Linked DNA regions of Oryzias latipes. The protein of the gene in region 3 interacts with the protein of the main gene of each other region in a biochemical or structural test. Links are inferred from orthologs where the notes say so. Each region holds a gene or a part of one and is shown on either strand. Other genes may lie near its edges.

The links. The genes of interacting proteins can lie anywhere in the genome.
Region 1: of the proteins of yap1 (region 3) and josd2, one has a biochemical effect on the other in vitro, tested with the Homo sapiens proteins (2 studies listed by BioGRID). The link is inferred for Oryzias latipes from reciprocal best matches to the Homo sapiens genes YAP1 and JOSD2.
Region 2: the proteins of yap1 (region 3) and ptpn14 form a complex in vitro, tested with the Homo sapiens proteins (3 studies listed by BioGRID and IntAct, with this or other methods). The link is inferred for Oryzias latipes from reciprocal best matches to the Homo sapiens genes YAP1 and PTPN14.

The regions. Positions count from the first base shown.
Region 1 is NC_019874.2:19,499,173-19,505,647, forward strand, and holds the start of josd2 (josephin-2), read right to left. Parts: upstream 3,858-6,475; 5' UTR 3,750-3,857; exon of another isoform or gene 3,626-3,749; intron 3,498-3,625; 5' UTR 3,491-3,497; coding exon 3,369-3,490; intron 737-3,368; coding exon 611-736; intron 271-610; coding exon 76-270; intron 1-75. Other genes in the region: ube2s (ubiquitin-conjugating enzyme E2 S), read left to right, coding at 6,013-6,015. UniProt on the Homo sapiens protein: Cleaves 'Lys-63'-linked poly-ubiquitin chains, and with lesser efficiency 'Lys-48'-linked poly-ubiquitin chains (in vitro). May act as a deubiquitinating enzyme.
Region 2 is NC_019882.2:9,165,128-9,171,349, forward strand, and holds the start of ptpn14 (tyrosine-protein phosphatase non-receptor type 14), read left to right. Parts: upstream 1-2,365; 5' UTR 2,366-2,762; intron 2,763-6,222. UniProt on the Homo sapiens protein: Protein tyrosine phosphatase which may play a role in the regulation of lymphangiogenesis, cell-cell adhesion, cell-matrix adhesion, cell migration, cell growth and also regulates TGF-beta gene expression, thereby modulating epithelial-mesenchymal transition.
Region 3 is NC_019871.2:6,487,630-6,493,935, reverse strand, and holds the start of yap1 (transcriptional coactivator YAP1), read right to left. Parts: upstream 4,083-6,306; 5' UTR 3,487-4,082; coding exon 3,286-3,486; intron 2,186-3,285; coding exon 1,950-2,185; intron 1-1,949. UniProt on the Homo sapiens protein: Transcriptional regulator with dual roles as a coactivator and corepressor. Critical downstream regulatory target in the Hippo signaling pathway, crucial for organ size control and tumor suppression by restricting proliferation and promoting apoptosis.

The sequences.
Region 1 (6,475 bases), on a different chromosome or scaffold from region 3:
TTTGTGGTAAAGAGTTTTAAAACATCTATAATCCTACTTTTCACCTGAATCACCCTGAAGCTTAAAGCTTCTCACCGTAGTTCTGCTTCTCCTCCTATGCAGAAAGGATTTTTCAGCTTGGAGTCCAGGTTATAGTACTGTCCATTAACCTGTCGAACTGCAAGCCAGTGCCGCCTTCGGAGGGGGAGGGAAACGATTCCCAAAGATACTCGAGATGGAACATTAAGAATAAAGCCCTGGACCTTGGATGGGCAAAGGCTCTGAACTGTCCTGTAGATGAAAAAAATAAATACGTTTTTAAAGAAACAGACACATTTCTTTAATTCACAACCAACATGATGCTGAAATTTGTGACTAACATTCTAAATATTTCAAATGATTAATGCTTATTTGTGACATGGGCCACAAGGGAGGCGGGGTTTGTATCACACCAACAGTCCCGCCCATAGCTCTGAGGCAAATTTCTAATACTCATACTGCTCTGCAGAAACTATGTCCTAGAAAACAACACAGGTGTAAAATAGAACAAAAGATAATCTGAGAGGGTCTTTAATTTAAAAAAAAAAAAAGACAGGTTTGTGAATGAACAGGGATCGGAGTGTGAACTGACCTGCGTTTGTCCCACCACACTGCAGCCAGCTCCCTGCTCTGTAGCGCTGCCATAATAACATTAACATCATAGTTTCCTGTTCCTAACACTGATCGATGGGGGTTAACCACACACTGTGGAGCCAGCCTGCAAAGAAGACAACATTTTTATAAAGGGATGTCCCCTTTTCATCCCTGTCTGGCAACTCATGCCCCTCAGTCCGGCTTAATTTGATTGCCAAAAGCCACCAAGACTGTGACTCAATTTAACTCAAGCTCAATTATGTTAATGGTCCTGATGTAAACCACAAGCCTCTCCAGACCTGCACTTTGTCTGTGGCTTCATCTCTGCAGAAGAGTTATCTATTTGTTTGAAATACAATCATTATTTTGTTCCAGAAAAATATAAACAGTATAAACATCTGGGTGTGTTTAGCTTTTATTTTATTGGTCAGACTTGAAAGAAACATTATCCATTTAAATTCAGATGGAAGTTTTTGCAGAAAAAAAAAAAAAGATATGTACGCTCACTGGGCACTTTGTTAGGTACACCCATCCAACTGCCCGGTAACAAATTTGCACTGAGCCAATCACATGGCAGAAAGTCAATGCGTTTAGGCATTCATGGTCAACACAATCTGCTGCAGTTCAAGCCGAGGATCAGAATGTGGAAGAAAGGTGATTGTAGTGACTTTCAAAGTGACCTGCTAGGATTTTTACCTACAGTGATGAAAGTCAGGCAAGGAAAAAATCCCTGAACTTTTCTTTGAGCGATATGGCGGGCACAGAGCGAAATTTTGGAAAAATACGTGGTCTTAGATGCATTCTGGCAACTAGTTATTCACTTCTTTATCAAGAAACTAAGACTAATTGGAGCATCATGATTTGTCATTCAAACCCCTAGTTTGACTCTCCATTAAGGACTTGCTGGTCCTAAAAAAGAATTTGGAAAATTGCTCAAAGTAACACAATCCTACAATCTACGCTTTTCCTTAAAGCTGCAAAACATACAATTGCTAAAATATAGTAACATCAAAGCCCCAAATGGCAAAAAGAACACCAGTAACTATGATATTCTATGAAAATACCTCAGTTATTTATACATTATTTCTGCTTTAGAAATGACTGATGTACAACATCCACTTGCACTGTTTTCTCAAACTATAATTACATCAAAATATGGGATCTGCTTTAAACTATAATTCTATAACATAATACATCAATTCTTTAACACCAATACTAAGTAATCTGGGAAATATCAAAACAAACATACAAACTAAACTAAACATTGTAAACATTATTTTTTAAGGGAGTGCGGGTCCAAACCATCAAATACTTATAATTAATGTCAACTATACTGAACTAAATCATGGTAATTAGGAAATACAAATAAATTAGATAGAGAAATGTATTCAAAATAAAAACTGAAACTCAAAACTAAAATTGAAATTATTTCAAAATGTGGTTTTGAGATTATTTTACACAAAAAAGTATTTGACCTACACTACCTTAAAAATCTTTTTTTTCCAGCCAAGACCACTTCAATTTGTTTTTTATCGTCTTCTCACAACTGAGGTCGTGACCACGCTCAATAATGACGATGCCTGCCATTATTTTAACACAAATTTGATCGCAAACTCTTCAGATGTGTTTGTGAAAATTTAGCGTGGGTCCGCCAGTTTTGGTCTCTAGGGAAGCGAGTCACGCTGACCACGTGGTGCAGACAGAGCCAATCGGACCCGTCGACGCATCCGAAAGCAACTAAAACGTCCCGTCATTGGTCAATTAGGCCGGGAAGACGAGAGATGGCCACGACCATAGAGGAAGCGATCTGCTGAGAAATATAGAAAATAAAGCTAAAATTAGCTGATTTCAGACCATTTTTTAATCCGGAAAGCGATTTGTCCGTAGAGATCAGGTCTTTATTTCCCGGAAAGTACGTTCGGTTTGCTCAAAAACCCGGATTTCCGGGAATTCCCGGAAGACTTTCATCACTGTACCTACAACCATCTCTAGGGTTTGTAGGGAAAATATCCAGTGAGCAGCAGTTTTGTGGGTGGAAATGCCTTGTTGATGTCAGAAGAGAATGGCCAGACTGGTTCCAGCTGATAGGAAAGTAACAGTAACTCAAATAACCACTGGTTACCAAGTTCTGCAGAAGAGCATCTCTGAACGCACAACACGTCCAATCATGAGGCAGATGGGGTACAGCAGCAGAAGACCTCAACGGGTACCACTCCTGTCAGCTAAGAACAGGAAACTGATTCTAAAATCGTGCACCTTGCCTGGTATGATTAGTCTCCATTTCTGCAGCAACATTCAGATTGTAGTGTCAGAATTTGCCGTCAACAACACGAAAGCGTGGATCCATTCTGCCTTGTATCAACAGTTCAGGCTGGTGGTGGAGGTGTAATGGTGTGGGGGATCTTTTCTTTGCACACCTTGGAACCCTTAGTACCAGCTGAGCATGGTTCCAACACCACAGTCTTGTTGAATCTAAGCCACAAAGGTTTCAGGCAGTTGTGAAGGCAAAAGGGGGTCCAACACGGGACTAGCAAGTTGTACCACATAAAATTGGCCAGTAAGTGTAAATATTCAACTATGATGACCTGGGGAAATCGAGACTGTTTTTGTTTGTTTTGTTTTGTTTTAAGCCTTAAACACGAACATAAACAAGGAAACTACAAGTACCACACATTACAATACATCCAATGTGTTTCAATATATGCTTTTTTTTAAATTGAGAGAATGGGTACAAGATCATGTCAGCACGTTGTTACCGTTTACAGATGTCGTCAGCCGTCTCCTTGGTAAACACTCGCTCCTGAAGCACGTTGTTGAGCGCGTGAATGGCGCACAGCTCCAACCGTTGCTTCTCATGAAACACCTCGGCTTCGCTCATTCTATCGCTTTCCGTTTCAAACACAAAAACGTGGACGTCAACAAAACCAGAATACACACGTCACTCATGCTAGCTAGCATCAGATATAATATGAGAGGTTAGCACCAGCTAGTACAGTAGTTCTTATCTTCTTACCTGAAAAGAAGCTAACTATGACACCCTGGTGGAAGTTCACCAGCTGGCCGCTCAAAAAGTGGTTTAGAAAGTAGCAGCAGCGCGAACTATTGTCACGCCATTACAATGAAACGGAGCTCGTTACCTGCTGATAAAGCAAATCCACGTTTTATTGACGCTGGAGTCCGTCAGCTACATCCAGAAACCGGAAGCAGAGTCTTTGTCGTGTTGTTGTTCTACAAAAAACACGCCCCCATGCTTAAAGAGTCCCACAGAGCAACACCGAAACACGAATTTTCTTTTATTTACCAAGTACATATAGCACTAAATAAACGCAAAAAAATATTTCTGGTAGTCCGCGCGATTGTTTTTAATGTTTTTAAGCAGGTCAAAATAGCAATAATGTAAGCTTGCAACGTCATCTAGTGGCAGCTTTATTAATTTCAGTTGTGGCAGAGAGGAGGTGAAGACAGACTTTCAGATATTTTTTCTCTAAAAGAAAAACAATACACATTTATATTAAAAAATAAAACACGAAATATTTCATATGGATTATTGTCTTTCAACTTAAGAATTTTTTTGATGGAGAAATTACTTGTGATGATATTCATGAATGTTGATGATAATGTTACATTTTCCTAGAATGCAACATGTCTACTATATCTGTGATTGACTGGATAACATCATATTCAGTGAAAGCAAAACTGCTCTGAGCAGGAAATACTGTGTTCAATCCAAGAGATACAAGTTGATAGCCATTACAAAGGCAGCAAAATGTAAGATGAAACTCCATTGTTGAACCTTTCTGTTTTGAGTGAACACATTTCAGCCATACAGGACCAATGAAAGGAGAGATATTCATAGAACAATATTTAATAACAAATTAGATAATTTGAAGATGCCATGAGCACTCCATCAGTTATTTTTTAGTCTGATATTGTGTCAGATGTTGCTATTCTGAACCTTTTACAAATCTTTTAATGTATGTTATGTGTTGAATTTAGAACTGAAGTTGTTCTTTGTCAAAATTGTTGAATGTTAGTGTATCATGTTCTGATTTTTTTTAAAGTTATGTCTGTTGTCTCATTTACAGTGATTTCTGTTGAGCTTTGTAGAATGGTAATAAAAAGACCTTCTTATCCTCTCCTACCTTCCTTTTGAGATTAAAAAAAAACCCTGTTTTATCTACATTGTCTCTATCAATGTTGTGTCCAAATTGGTTACCATTCCCAGTTATATGTTTGATTTTTGCACAAGAGGTCCTGAGGACACTATTGGGTTATCTGTTTGTGTGCTATTTTGCATTTGGCGCTGTTTCTTCCTTCATAAATGCACAGGAAACTTTGAGATGTACAAAGACCTGCATAACATTTTTTAAAGATTTCTCACAGAACATAAGCCAGTTTTGAGTACAATGTTTCAAAATCAAATTGTGCAAAAACAAGCATTAGATCACAGCAATGCTAAAATAGCGTTCTATTGTCTGATAGTTGCGGGGTTTGTTTTTATGTTCATAGATATTTAGGACACACCACTAAATTATTGGTATTTGTATGATGGACAGTCATTTAATATTATTATTGGCCTACAATTTTTTTTGTTAGTCCAAAATCCTGCTCCAAAACCAGGAAAGCTGTCCTCAGGTTGAGGCACCATGTTTATTGAATGCCCTTATCCTGTCAGTGTCCCTGATTGACTCTGTTGTGTCCTTTTATAAAAAAGCTAACATGCATTTGTTTAGGAAAGGTTAAAAGTAATGAATGTGAGTGTATGTGGTTGTGTGGCTCAGACAGTCCAGGGTGTACCACACCTGGGGGTAGTTAGAATAGACTCCAACAACCGCCACAGGGAGTGTTTAGAAAATGCATAAAAAGGTGCTTCAGAAATACAGCTCACTTATTTGCTTAAACAATTATATTAAAATATAATTAGGAATATTTGTTTTAAATGTATTTTTCACGTTATAAAAATGCTCACTGCTATTGATTGAATTATATTAGCTAATCTAATATACCCGATATTCTTGATTGTGGTTTATTTCCTGTCAGTATCGATCGGTAGTTTGAGTTTTTCAAACGGGCCTATGGCTCACCAGCATCAGCTCTCTTTACACTCTGATTGGCTTATATATTTTTTCTATCATGACGTAATAGAAAATCTAGATTGTGATTGGTTAGGAACTTCATACGCGTCAACTTGCTAAGACGGCTATTGGTTAATATCAGCAGGTTAAATCGAGGATCGTATTTTTGTTCCTGTGTCAACGTTAAAGCGAAAAGGACAGTAATCAGGGTTTTTTTTGTGATTAAGTTTCTACAAAATACTTTTTCTCAAATAGTAGCAGAAAAAGCTTCGTTTTATCCCATTCCAGTAAACAACCATTCACCAAAAAGATCTCATTTTCGAAGATGGTAAGACAGATGACCGAGCGTATTGCTAACAGCTAAGGGGAGTTTTTGCTAGCTTGCTCCGGTGTTAGATCGTCAAAAACACCCTGGTTGTGGTTGATTTTCTTTCTTTTTTAAAAGTTGTTTTTTATTCGCGGAACCAAAACATGATTTTAAAAATAGTACGGAGTACTTTTAGCGTAATGATCGCGTTTTTACAGCCTTTAATCAACGCTAAGTTCGAGGCATTACCTCTTGCTAACCGTTAACGTAAAGTTATCTCCTTATTTCTGTATAATAATTAGTAAGAGTTGCAATTTTATATTTTATCAGTCATGATACGATCGTACCTTGATTTAATGTGCCTTTATATTACCTACAGTAAAACTTTTTTTCTTCTTTTCTTTAAGCTTGGCGACAAAAACTTTGAAACTCAATGTTGTATTTTTGTTCTAGCAGCATAGCATTCGTTTGAATATCCTCC
Region 2 (6,222 bases), on a different chromosome or scaffold from region 3:
CCAAGCGCCGACCCACTTTGGGATGCAGGAGGCACCAGGTCAGAGCAGGGTCACAGTCAAAAAGCAACGTGTTTTTGAGCTTATCGGCACCGCGATCGGACTTTAGGTGTGGACTCTAAAAGGAAGCCTTTATTGTGGAGGCCTTCCGTGAGGAGACCTCAATTCTGCAGGTCTGCTTAAACACAGACATCAGATAACGTGTCACATGCCTGCTTTTGTCTTTCTTCCAAGTGTCTCACAGTTAAAAAAAAAAAAAAAAAAATGATGTACAAAACAGGCTAACAAGTTCATAAATAAACTTCCAAGTTTAATTAAATTATTTTCAAGTGGTTTAAGTCTATTAAAGAAAGTGTGATTCCAGTGGTTTAGAGCTCAAAGATAATGTTTTTTGTGTTAACTTTTCTTGAATTTTTCCCCCAAATATAAACAATTACAGCAATTTTCTACCCAAATATTAGTGTATCGGCAGCACATGGCACGACACCACAGAAAATTTATGTTCCAAATGATCAAAATAACGTCACTTATAACGATCAAATGATCAAAATAACGATCAAAATAACGTCACGTCTTTGTCGTTTTTCTTCATAAAATTACATAGTTGGGGTGTAATTACATTTTTTGCCGTTTAAAGGTTTCATTATGTAAAATCAATCAGGACTGAACATGTGCTCCTAAGCCAGCTCTACATAAACAAAAGAAAGCAGATATATTAGAGATTTTACAGCAGAAGTTTTTGAATCATCCTTTTCTTTTTTTGCAAAAATGTAAAAAAAATTGTTCTAATGATTTATTGTAATCACTACAATTCTGATGGGCCTGTATAGATGTGGTGACGCATTCAAGGTGTACTCCGCCTTTGGCCTTAAAAAAATTAAGGGATAGGCTCCAGCCAGCATCTTTTTGACCCCCGTGCAGGCTCTCAGAGAGATGAGCCTTAAACATTTGATCTATGGCAGGTTAAATTTATTGTATTTGAGAATTTAATGTTATAAATTCTTTCAGTATTTTTTGAAAGTATGTCCTTTGCTTATTTTTATGGCTGTCATTTGCTGTTTCAGCCACAAGAGGCTGCAACTTGTCCACAAATACAGTATGATAATCTTCAGTTTTCACATCTGAGACAGTTAAAAATCCTGACAAACTTTAGCAATAAAAGGCAGAAAATCAAAGAAGCCCTGCATGTGTTCTGTAAAAAAAGGCCTATGTTTGAAAAATTAAATATATATTTACATCCAGGAAAAATCCTTTGTTTGACGTCTTTAAAAATGTATTTTATTTTTGTAGTTCTAGATAACACTTTTTTTTAAATAAGTACAGTTATTAAATTAAAAAAAGAAATTCTCTTTTAATGGCCTTTTTTTTTACAAAGTGTGAAAAAGTGTAAAAGTTTAACATTGCAACAAGTAGAGATAATACAAAAAAACACTTTTTTTTGTTGGTACTTTTGGGATAAATATGGATCAACATATATTTAAAAACGTGTTATATTTGTCGGTTATTTGAATTTACTCCTTCACAGCGTCGTTAGCACGCAACGGCGGAACATAAAAAAGAGAGGGGGGCCCTACTTTGTGCGTGAGTCTCCCGCGGCCCCTGGAAAACCATTAAACGCAGAGGACTTCTCCCAGAATTCCCGCATTCCTGGGATTTCTCCACTCTGATGTCAGAACAGTGGGGGCGGGGCTCTGAAGGCGTCTGGACCCAATGAGGCGTTCACGTACACCATCAACGCTACCAGCGCTACCAAAAGAGTTTTCAATTTATTAAATTTCAAGCAAATAGCATATATTGGCTACAGTAAAATTTTTTAAGGAAATATGAAATTTAAAATCTAATTATGGTTAAACACAGAGGTGTTCTGAGGTTATTTGTTTATATCATTACACAACTTTATTTTAGTTGCAATTTTAAATGACCAAGTGCAAAAAAGGTGCTTTGAAATAAAAAGGAAAGAGATGTATACATAAACATAATAAGAAAATATAAAAATCATATGGCAATGAACTAAAAAAAAGAAGAAAAGAAAGAACAAGGAAAATCCAATATCCAAAATATAATGAAAAAAAAAAACAATTAAAAAAACTGCATAAATGAAAGATGGGTAAAATTCTCATAAACACAATTTTTAACCCGAAATTTGTTTCAAAAAAACAAAATTGAAAGCACAGATTAAATACACATTTTTATTTAATTTATGAATAATATAAAGTTATGACTAATGATGTAAGAATGCATGAGAAATGTACTTAAAAAATATTTAGAAAAACACCGATTAAAAAAATAAAAAGGAACACGTTTAGTAAAAATCCTTATTCCGATTATTTTCTTGGGTTTTGAACGCAGCGTATTCTGTATTCCCCGCCCGCCCTGAACGCCTCCATTGGACTGCAGGGACCGCTACTATAAACACACGAAGAGTTGCAGCGAGAGAAGAGCACATCTTTGGCCGATCTGCACGACTTTTACCAAAGTTTTGCGCAGTTTTTGTGCGCCATGAGAGCATCAGAACAAAAGAAGTTCCGAAAAAGCACCAGCTTGGGGACGCGCAGCAGCTTTGGTGGCGTTTTCTCTCAATCATTTTTCTCTCTTGTGAAGTTTGAAAAGACTTTCGACATCTCTGCTCCCCAGTCGGAATTTTAAACTGCTTTAAAAAAAAAAGGCTCTTCTGAGGATTAAACCCACTCCGCGGCGAATCGCCTCCAAAACCGAGGAGATTTGGAATGTAGCGCAAAGGAAAAAAGAAAAAAGAAAAAAAAAAGGTGAGTTTGAGTTCTGAGGAAAAAGTTGGACATTTGTGTTTTAACTATTTGAAGTTCGTAGCAAGGATGTGTTGACTTTGAAAAAAAAAATAGAGGAAACGCTAACTGTGTAAATCAGTCTTGATGATACAAACATTTAAGTTAAATTAAGTATCACGGGAGAAATGACTCTCCCCTCATAGATCAACACAGATAAACACACAGTTTGGACTCAGGCTGGGTAAAGATGCTCACAAAAAGATGCGAAATGGAAGAAAACTGATGACTTTTAGGGGGATCAATCAGAAAGTGTCATATTTTACCTAAAGAAAACCCATCAGAGATTGTGGTGGTCCCACATGGAGCCCGGGAACTGATCCAGTCAGGGTAAGTGAATGCACACAGGTGTGTCTGGAACATGTGGAGCTGAGTTTGAGCAGAGCTGCTGATGTTTTTCTGTTGGTCTCTCACACCCTGGCATTCATGTTTGTGTAGAAGATGTGTTTGGACATGCATTTCTATGGACTGCCACTTCAAACAGGCAGAGAGGCAGGCAGGCAGGCAGGGAGGGAGGAGGTGGTGGTGGTGGTGGTGGTGGTGGGGTTGCTGTGTGCTCTGAAATGGAAAAGAAAGGATAGTTACAGCACGCGCGCATCTGGTTATCTTTATGAGCTCAAAGGCACGCTGTTTAAATTACATAGTGACTTGGGAGTACACCCATGTGAAGAATTTAAAGGACTAAAACATGTGAAGCATGAGCACCTATCCACTTCCTGCTCCACACACTCCATGGAGGTGGCTGAGGTGGTTCTGCAGCAGCAGCAGAGGAAAGCAGCTGAAATGTGCCGTTCCTGATTTTCACTGAAGGTCAATCCCCACAATAGGTGTTTACTGGATGCTGCCGCCCGGCAGTTAACAGCCTGAGCGGTTATTGTTTGTGCAGCCAATTGTTATTTAAGGACATAGGCCGTTTGATTATAGTGTGGTGCAAACATAAATGTCATTTTGGCCGAATGCTTTTGGCAAGCAGAAGAAAACGGGCATCAGTGGTCACTGTTATCACTAAAGCACCACTCCGGCCACTGTTGAAGAAACAGACGGACCGAACGGTTGGTCCAAATGGGGATCAATAGAAGCATTTTTGCCTCCCCATACTGCCAAGGATGGCGGCTTTGAATAGAGCGCAGAGAGCACACTGACGGGTCTGTCAGTGACATGGCGTCTGATTACCAACAAGACCATCACATGTGGACTCGTCTGACCTCAGAACACTGTTCCACTTTGAAACGGCTCCTTTTTAAATGAATCTTGACCTAATGACACACTGCTTCTGGGCCCTGTGGCTTCCTTTCTGCAGGATGGAGCTTTTGGGCTCACCCTCAAACCTTTCTGCTTCCTTGAATCATTTGGCAGCATCATCGACACAATCACAAGGAATGTTGTCTTAAATTGTCCCTGACACACAGAGATTTCTTCAGTTTCTCTAAATTGTTTGTTTATCTTCTGCTTTGTAGAAAATAAAACTTCTAACCCATCTACAGTTTGGTGTTGAGGAATGTTTTTTAAAAGTATTTAAAGGCCGTGTTTTTAGTTATTTTTTTACCATGTTCTTGTGGTGTTTTTCTCATGAGGAAATATTGAAAAAAAATCTAGCTTAAAGTTTCAATTCTGAATTTTTTTTTTTAATTAAAATATTTGTGAATCAGGAGGGGAGCCGGTTTAGCTCGTGCTGGTTTGCGGCGCCTTCCGTCCGTGAAAACCAGGGTTCGACTTCGGGCTGCTCCCTGTTCCCTTCTGTGCCGGTCCCAAGCCCGTTTGCTTTGAGAGGGTTGCGTCAGGAAGGGCATCCGGCGTAAAACATTGCCAAGTTTACTATGCGACTCGTTCGCTGTGGCGACCCCTGATGGGAAAAGCCAAAAGAGAAACATTTGTGAATCAGGAGTCCTTAGACTGCCTTCTCCGCTCCCTTCTGATGCATCCATGTTGATCTTTGTTTTTCCTCGTCTGAGCTGGAATCTGGCTCAAAACCGTACAGCTGGATAGCTTCAATATTGCTCGCCATTTCGCCATGCAGCAATAATGTTTGGTTGGGGTTGTGAGGGGCTGCACGCTAGCCAAAGAGCACGTAAACGGATGGATGAAGGGAAGGGGGATGTCTTACGCCGCACCCACTGTTCTGCCCACAACTCAGAGGCAAAATTTCTGATGGACTACTGCTGCTCTGCAGAAACTATGTTCTATAGAACCACACAGGTTTTTTGATTTAGGCTAAAAACGGCATAATCATAATTAAGAGACGACTGGGAACGCTTTGAAAATGGATCATAAGATGATCCGAGTGGGACTCTAACAGTTATTAAAACACTTTTGATGTAAATCTTGTTGCTTAAGGATTAAAAGACCACCTCCACCTCTGTAATCATCCTCCAGATCTCCTCACCCCCCCTTTCCCCCATTCTTCTGTGCCCTTACCCCCTGTCACTGACATCCCTTCCTTCTTTCCTCTTCTTCTTTTCTGTCCAGTCCAACGAAAAAAAAAAAAAGAAAATACAAATGTTCGTTCATTCATTCATCTTCTGTATAGTTAGCTCCCGTTCGGGGTCACATGGCTGCTGGAGCCTATCCCTGCCACTTTTGGGTGAAGGCTGGGGTCGTCAGTCTGCCGCAGGACCACGATCACACACCCATGCACACGCACATTCACAAACAAATGTAATGAATATAAATCAAGTTTAGCCTAAATTACAGAAGTGGTTTACACAAATGCACATATTGTGTGTCAGAAGATCCACAACCTTCTGTTTTAACAGCAAAATATGTCCAACACTTTTACAGATCAAATGGCCTCTTTCATTCTTTTCATTCCAATACTCTGCCTCTACAAGACATTCATTTTTATGATAATTGTGTCACAGACCTGACATCAATTAACCTAAGTAATTTTTTAACGTCGTGGCTTCAGATTGGAAATAAACTTCATTAGTTGATGAAGAAGATGCTGTTTGGTTTAGGGTTTTAGTTGATTTATATATTTACTCTATTAAATAAAAACATCACAACTTTTTTTTTTTTTTGCTTGTGGGTCAGGGGCAGATTAGTCAGCTCCCAACTAGCAACATGTTAAGGTATCCTTGGACATGACCCTTGAACCCTCAATTATGTCTGGTGAGCTGGGTTGAGTGTCATGGCGGCTCACTCATCAGTGTCAATAAATATTAAGACTTTTTCAAGTATGTGCCAAAATGTAGACAAGAAGCAGGGAGAAAGTACTTTGAAGACCAGTGGATAGGAAAAAAGCTAAGTTTAAACCTTTTTCTGCACATTTGACTTGTATAACTGGGTTAAAAATTCTAGATTGAACCCATTTTAACATGCCCACAAGGACACAAGGTCCTTTTTTGTAAATGAGTTGACAGAGAACCAGTTGCAGTGCATGCAATCTGTATATATAATAATTTGAATATTTTCTAAAGGTCTCATT
Region 3 (6,306 bases):
CTCTCAAAAAGAGAGATTATTGTGACAAATATAAATAATTCAAGCCATCCCCAGGCAACGCAAAGGAATAAAAACAAAAAAAAACTACCGGTAAACACAAACATCTCAGTCCTATTCAGACTAACTGTGACCAACCAATAAGACGAATGTATTCTAGCTACCTACAGCTATTGGGCTGAAGATCCGCTGGTGAGCAGATGAGTTTAGCAGGACTGTCTGTCCTTTGCTGTCTGGGCAGCAACAGTGATCCATTGTTTCTGCTGAAACCTGAGACCAAGAAAAGAATCACTACGTACAACACAAGTCCCTCAAGACGGCTCTTGTTTGCAGACGCCACCAAATGTAATAACCTACAATCTAACTATTGCGATTGTCTCCTTCTGCGCACACCGGCCACCATTGTGCACTGTAGCAGATTTGGAAATGATGGTCAGCACGATGCACGCTGAACAGAGCCGTCCTTTGAGGGACAGGGAACATTTCTCTGGCTTTACTGGGGGCTAAAACCTCCAAAATGTTGATCCTGAACTTTTCCTGACATTTTGTTTTAACTTACAAAGTCACCCTAATTCCTTGACTCAATGTTTTGGAGGTTTTTCTTTGTCTTTTTTGTGTTTTTTTACCAGCTTTAATGACTGCAATATTTTCCAGAAATTTCCAGGCAACAACAGATTTTAGGTGGATGGAAAACCAAAGCTATGCAAATGCAGACAACAAGAATGATTATTCACAATGAGTACCAAAGAAACACACTAAAATACTAAACATAATTACAAATATGCATATATATGAACCGTTTAACCAAATCAAAATAAGAGGTAAACAGATTTACAGAAAGAAGGGTGACTGGGTGGAGATAAGGCCCCCAGCTGAACTCCTCAACAGACCATGTTTGTTGGCTTTTTTCATTTTGATATCTCATAAACGGAGTAGCTGGCACCAACTTGGTCTAACATGGGGCAATGAACTAAATAACACTCAGACTATGTGCACTTAGTACATTCAGTACTGAGGTGGACTTCAAATGGTTATGAATTGTAACCCATCTATAAATACATTTTTGGTTGATAAAGACTTCCTTGGATTAGAAAGGAAAACACGTCATGGAAATTAAAACCCAATCAACGCTGCGTGAAATTGAGAAAACTAGTTTTGTCCCAAATTGTTTGTGGTTGCTCTGTTTGATCAGGGTTTTCTGTTACTTCCAGGTGAAAGCCCACTGCATAGGCCAGCTTAGGTTTGATGCCTGGCTGCAGACATGGATGTCCAGAACCAGAAGTCCTTGGAAAGTCCACCATTATCGCTCAGAGAATTTTCATTTTAACTGACAACAGTTACGATTTCTCTCATTTGAAGCCTTGGTAGAAGTTTTGGCTACAATTCCGAACACTTTTGGGTTAGGATTAGTTGTATGATTTCTGCTTCCGGCCCGATGATGTCCGCCGCCATCTTGAAACCAAAGAGAACCAGAAGGATTTCTGGAGGTCTTTGCTGCACGTGGACCCTGGCGCAGAAATCAAAGATCTGCTGGGAGAACTCTTTGAATGTTTGGGTGCAACTCATCACACGGGGATATTTTGAAAGCCACACTCGATGGGGCATTCAGTGCCTCGCATGTACAGTCTGTGCAACAGATGTTCTGCAGGTTGGACGAAAACAACACCTGTTCCACATCTGTTGGACTCGCTTTGGTCCGTTTTTTTATGGGCGTTAACCTAATCGGTGGAACATTAGAGTCCCATTAACAGGTGCATTCTGCAAATTATGTTTTGGAAGAAAGGTTATGGAACCTTGACAGTTTTTAAATGCCTCCAGGCTTTGAGTTCGTACTCCTCTCGACGAAGAAACGAGACCCATTTTGGTGTCCAGATGTTACCGTCTGCTGTCCACCCGTTTTCGATTCCAGCCCCGTTCACTTTTATGCACACGCTGTTAGATTGCACACTTACTTGAGAAAGTATCTCTGGCCGGAGCTGGTCTTGGCCATCTCCCAGCCTGGCGGCAGGGGCACGTCGTCGGGAATCTCGTAGGACGACTGCCGGAGATGTTGGGGGGAGGCGCCTGCTGAGGCCATCCCAGACAGGGAGCCACCCGAAACGGCGCCCAGCTGCAGGGAAGCTGGAGACGAGTGTGCGCGTACGTGGTGGGGGGTGAGCACGCCGCCACTCCCAGCATCAGTGCTAGCCTGAGTTACAAAGAAGATGTTTTATTTATTTTTTTACATTGTTTCAATACATTGATAACTAAATGTCACATATTTTCATGTACCTTTAGAGGACCTGCTTGCTTTAGTCCCCTATAAACTGTATTTTTCATTGAATGATCATCTGTGACTACATACATGTTTTGTCTCGTTTCCTAATATCTATAAACTGTATGTTTTGTGGGCTGGGTTTGGAATTGTTTAGTCTTCTTCTGAAGTTCTTCTAGTTTTTATTACAGTTTATGCGTGCTTTCAAAAATAAATGCATAAAGACAAGCTTTTTTATTTGAAATGTAAACATATATGGGGGGGATAAACAACAAATAGTAAAGTTGGCAGGTGGGGGTTTTATTTAGTTTTTTTTTGTTTTTTGTTTGTCTAGGACCCCCCCCCCCAAAAAAAAAATTTGCAGTACTTCTGCATTATATCTAGTTTATTAGCGACAAAGACAAAGACATTATTTATCTTGTTTGTCCCAATGAGGAGTATCACAGTGATTCATTTTGGACTGTATTATAAAACAGCAGCATAATGAAAAATCTCTAAAAAATGAAAAAAAAATGATCATTAAGTCAGACTTGAACACTGTTGAGTCATCTGGATGTGCATCCAACTTGTGTCAGGGCCCACAGAGATAATCCAAGGCACCAGAGGGCCTGCACGGCGCATGCGCACTAGTTACAAAACTTCGGTAAGCAGTCGAAAGGGGAAATTGGGAGGGAGGGGTTGATGGGGTAAATCCAATCATCATATGATTTCTATATTGAAGCTGTATTAAAATAAAATAAAAAGTATATCTAACTAACCTTTAAATGACTGTTTATAAATGAATTAACAAAGTTTCGCAATAAAGTTTTATGTTCAAATAAATGTATCCACATTTCTTGCAAAACGTTTAAACTTTTTTTTAATGTTTTGATGATTTTCTTTTAATTAAAATTATAATTTGCGCTTACAATACATTTAAAAAAACGGACTAAAATCGTGATTTTAACAAAAAAACTAGATGGAGCGGTTGTTTTGAGCAGAGGTGGCCGTGTTTAGGCCGGGGCCCCCGCGGGATTGGAGGGGGGGGGTCTTACTTGTCTGGAATGGGACTTGGGCTCCGGGGGCTTGAAGAAGGAGTCCGGCAGCTTCCTCATCCTCATGGGCACGGACTGGGGCACGACGGCGCCCTTGGGGTTCATCACGGCGTTGAAAAGCGCCTCCAGGTCCGTTTCCGAGTCGCCCCGAACGTGAACGATCTGGTGTCCGACAGGAGGGTTGTGCTGGCTCGGATCCATTGTTCCACAAGCGCTCTGCGAACTCTTTGCGGCCCGAAAACGTTGAGTTACGAAACTTTTCAAAGGCGGTTCGAGCCGTCCCCGAACTTTTTTTTTTTTTTTGTCAAATCTTTAACTTCTAACGAAACTTAGTAAAAGTTTTGCAAAGTCATGACTTTTTAACGTCGGTCTACTTTTTCGAGCGGACCGCCGCGAGGCTGTTTTCGAACGATGTTAGCTGTCAAAATCAGCAGAGAAAGGCCGCTTTCCTTGGCTTTTCCCAGCTGACATACTTGTACATAAAACAAAGCGCATATCTGCTCCACTCTGGAATCTGTATTGTCGTCCGGACCCAGCTTTTACTCCCCCCCCCTTCAGAAAAAAAGTGCCGCAAAAGTTGGTGAAAAAAAAAAAAAAAAAGGTAACACCACCAAAGTTCAGGCAGTAAAAAGAAGTCCCGGCATTCCCAATTTCGGAAAAGTTTCAAAACTTTTTCCTCCCCAGGAATTTTCCAAGGCAGACTCAGCGCAAATCTGTGCCGCTCACTGCCCCGAAAAAAAGTTTCCTCCTGTTAGCCTAAACTTTGAGCAGGACATAAAACTTTATGGCTCATGGGACGTCTGCGCAAAGGGGGCGGGGCCACACTCCAACTGGGATGAGTTAAAGGTACAGGCAGTTATCCTGAGACCCATTTATCCTGCAAAAAAGCATTAAACTTAAGACTGCGACAAAATAGCAATTATGAAGTATACAACAAAATTATAAAATATAGCTTTTATTTCTATTTACCTCGATCTTTAAGAAAATATTAAAATAACAATAAAAGAAAATGTTGTAGTTTCAAAAATGACCACTAGAGGCTGGTATCAGAGGGAGGTCGTTTTCTATTGACTCCCCTCCTACGAAACTACAAATTTAGACCCTAAATTTACAGATGTGCTTCCCAGGATCAGTTTAAAAAAATGTTTTTTGCTTTGAATTTAAGCGTCCAGTTACCAAATGTGAGACAAACCCTAAAGAACTAAATACTGCAGTTCCTAAAATGACCACTAGAGGCTGGTTTCAGAGGTAGGGGATTTTCCAATGACTCTCCAATTTGAAAAACCACAAATTTACACCCTACAGGTAGATTCCCAGGGTCCCTTTGTTCTTTGATTTCTTTTTTTTTTTTTTTTTTTGCTTTTAATTAAAATATCCAGTTACCAAATGTAAGAATTCCTGAAAATATTAAATGTTGCAGTTCCTAAAATGACCAGTAGAAGCTGGTTTCAGAGGCAGATCATTTTCTATCGACTCCCCTCTAAAAAAAAACAAAAAGGAACTTTAAACATTGAATTAAGAGGTTTTCCAGGATCCCTTGTTTGTTGACGTATGCTACTTTGTTTTCCATTTATGATAAGTTTGTTTTACAGGGGAGTGTTTTGAAATGGTCTGTTTTTTATTTCATTAAGGAACATTTTTTTTTTTGTATAATTAGCGATAAACATACACAAACAGTGAAGTGACCATCTATGATGTCAAACACAAATTTCTAATAGACAAAAATGAAGCCTGAAATGAGACGCCTATATTGACCAGAGGTTGCTCTGTACAACTAAACAGACCTATTGACAAGAAGAAAACCCCCAAATGCGACATTAAAATCCTGATAAATCTGTTGAATTAAACTCATCTCTGTGCTTCACACACAGACAGATTTGATCCAGAAAAGGCCTGCAGAAAGTCCACTTTAGAAAATAGCTGCGAACATAAAAGGTGCCACGATTTTTCCCAAGAATCTTGAAAAGAACAATTTTCTTTCAATCGCTGAGGGAAATGGAACAATCTCTTCTTTCTTTTTTCTTTTTACACTGTATGTAAAGTAGAGCCATGCAAGTTCCCACAATTGTTATGCTAATGAGGCCCCTCTTCCATTGAGAAATCATTTTGTCAAGAACCTCCTTCTCTAGATACAGAAGCATCTCTGTCCCATACAATGAGTGAATAAATGATTATGAAGCCCTAATACATACCTAAAGAAAGCTGCAGATTAAAGAGCGGCCATTGTTTTGGTGGGTAGATGATCACGTTTGTTAGTTTAGACACAAATTTGTTTTATTAATTATGCAAAAACCAGCATCCAATTCAAAACCTAAATGGCTTTTTTTTTTTTTTTCAAATCTGGACTTTGAAATGTTTTTAGGTTTTTATAAATTGATAATGCAATAAAAAAGTCCTTCATTTGATCACCACTGTGAGTTTGTGTTTCCAGTAAAGGCTTTCCTTGTAAATGTCACCACTTTCCAGATTTCAAATAAGACATAAAACATTCTGAGAGCACGTGCTGCCTGTCTCGAAATTTCCATTAAACGAGGGAAAGTGGCCTTTTTCCTTTTTTTACTTCGTTCTCTGTCACTGACTCAGACACAGCAAGTGATGGACCTCAGTGTCTTGCAGCACCAGGCAGACCACCCACCTAGCAGCCACTCCTTATCCATATGACTTCATTCCCCTTAAAGATGTTATGGGACACTTTGTTTTTTTTGTTTTTGTTGTGTTTTTTTTATAAACTCATCAAACCGAACAGTTTTGTTTTCCTAAGAGAAGCAAACCAGCTCTTTATTTAACACTTGATCTGATAGTTTGAGATTAGGTCACCAAAAAGAGTGGCTGAGGGAACAGGCAGACCCAAGCGCCACCTAGTGGTTACTCACAGCAACTACGAAAACTTTTAAAAAAGTTTTTATTTTATCTTAACTCTTCCATAAGTATTTAAAAATACAAAAAAATCGTTTTTTTAGAGGGTGTTTGAAATTAAATGCCTAATAATTCATTAAGATTTGTTATTTTTCTATATTTTTC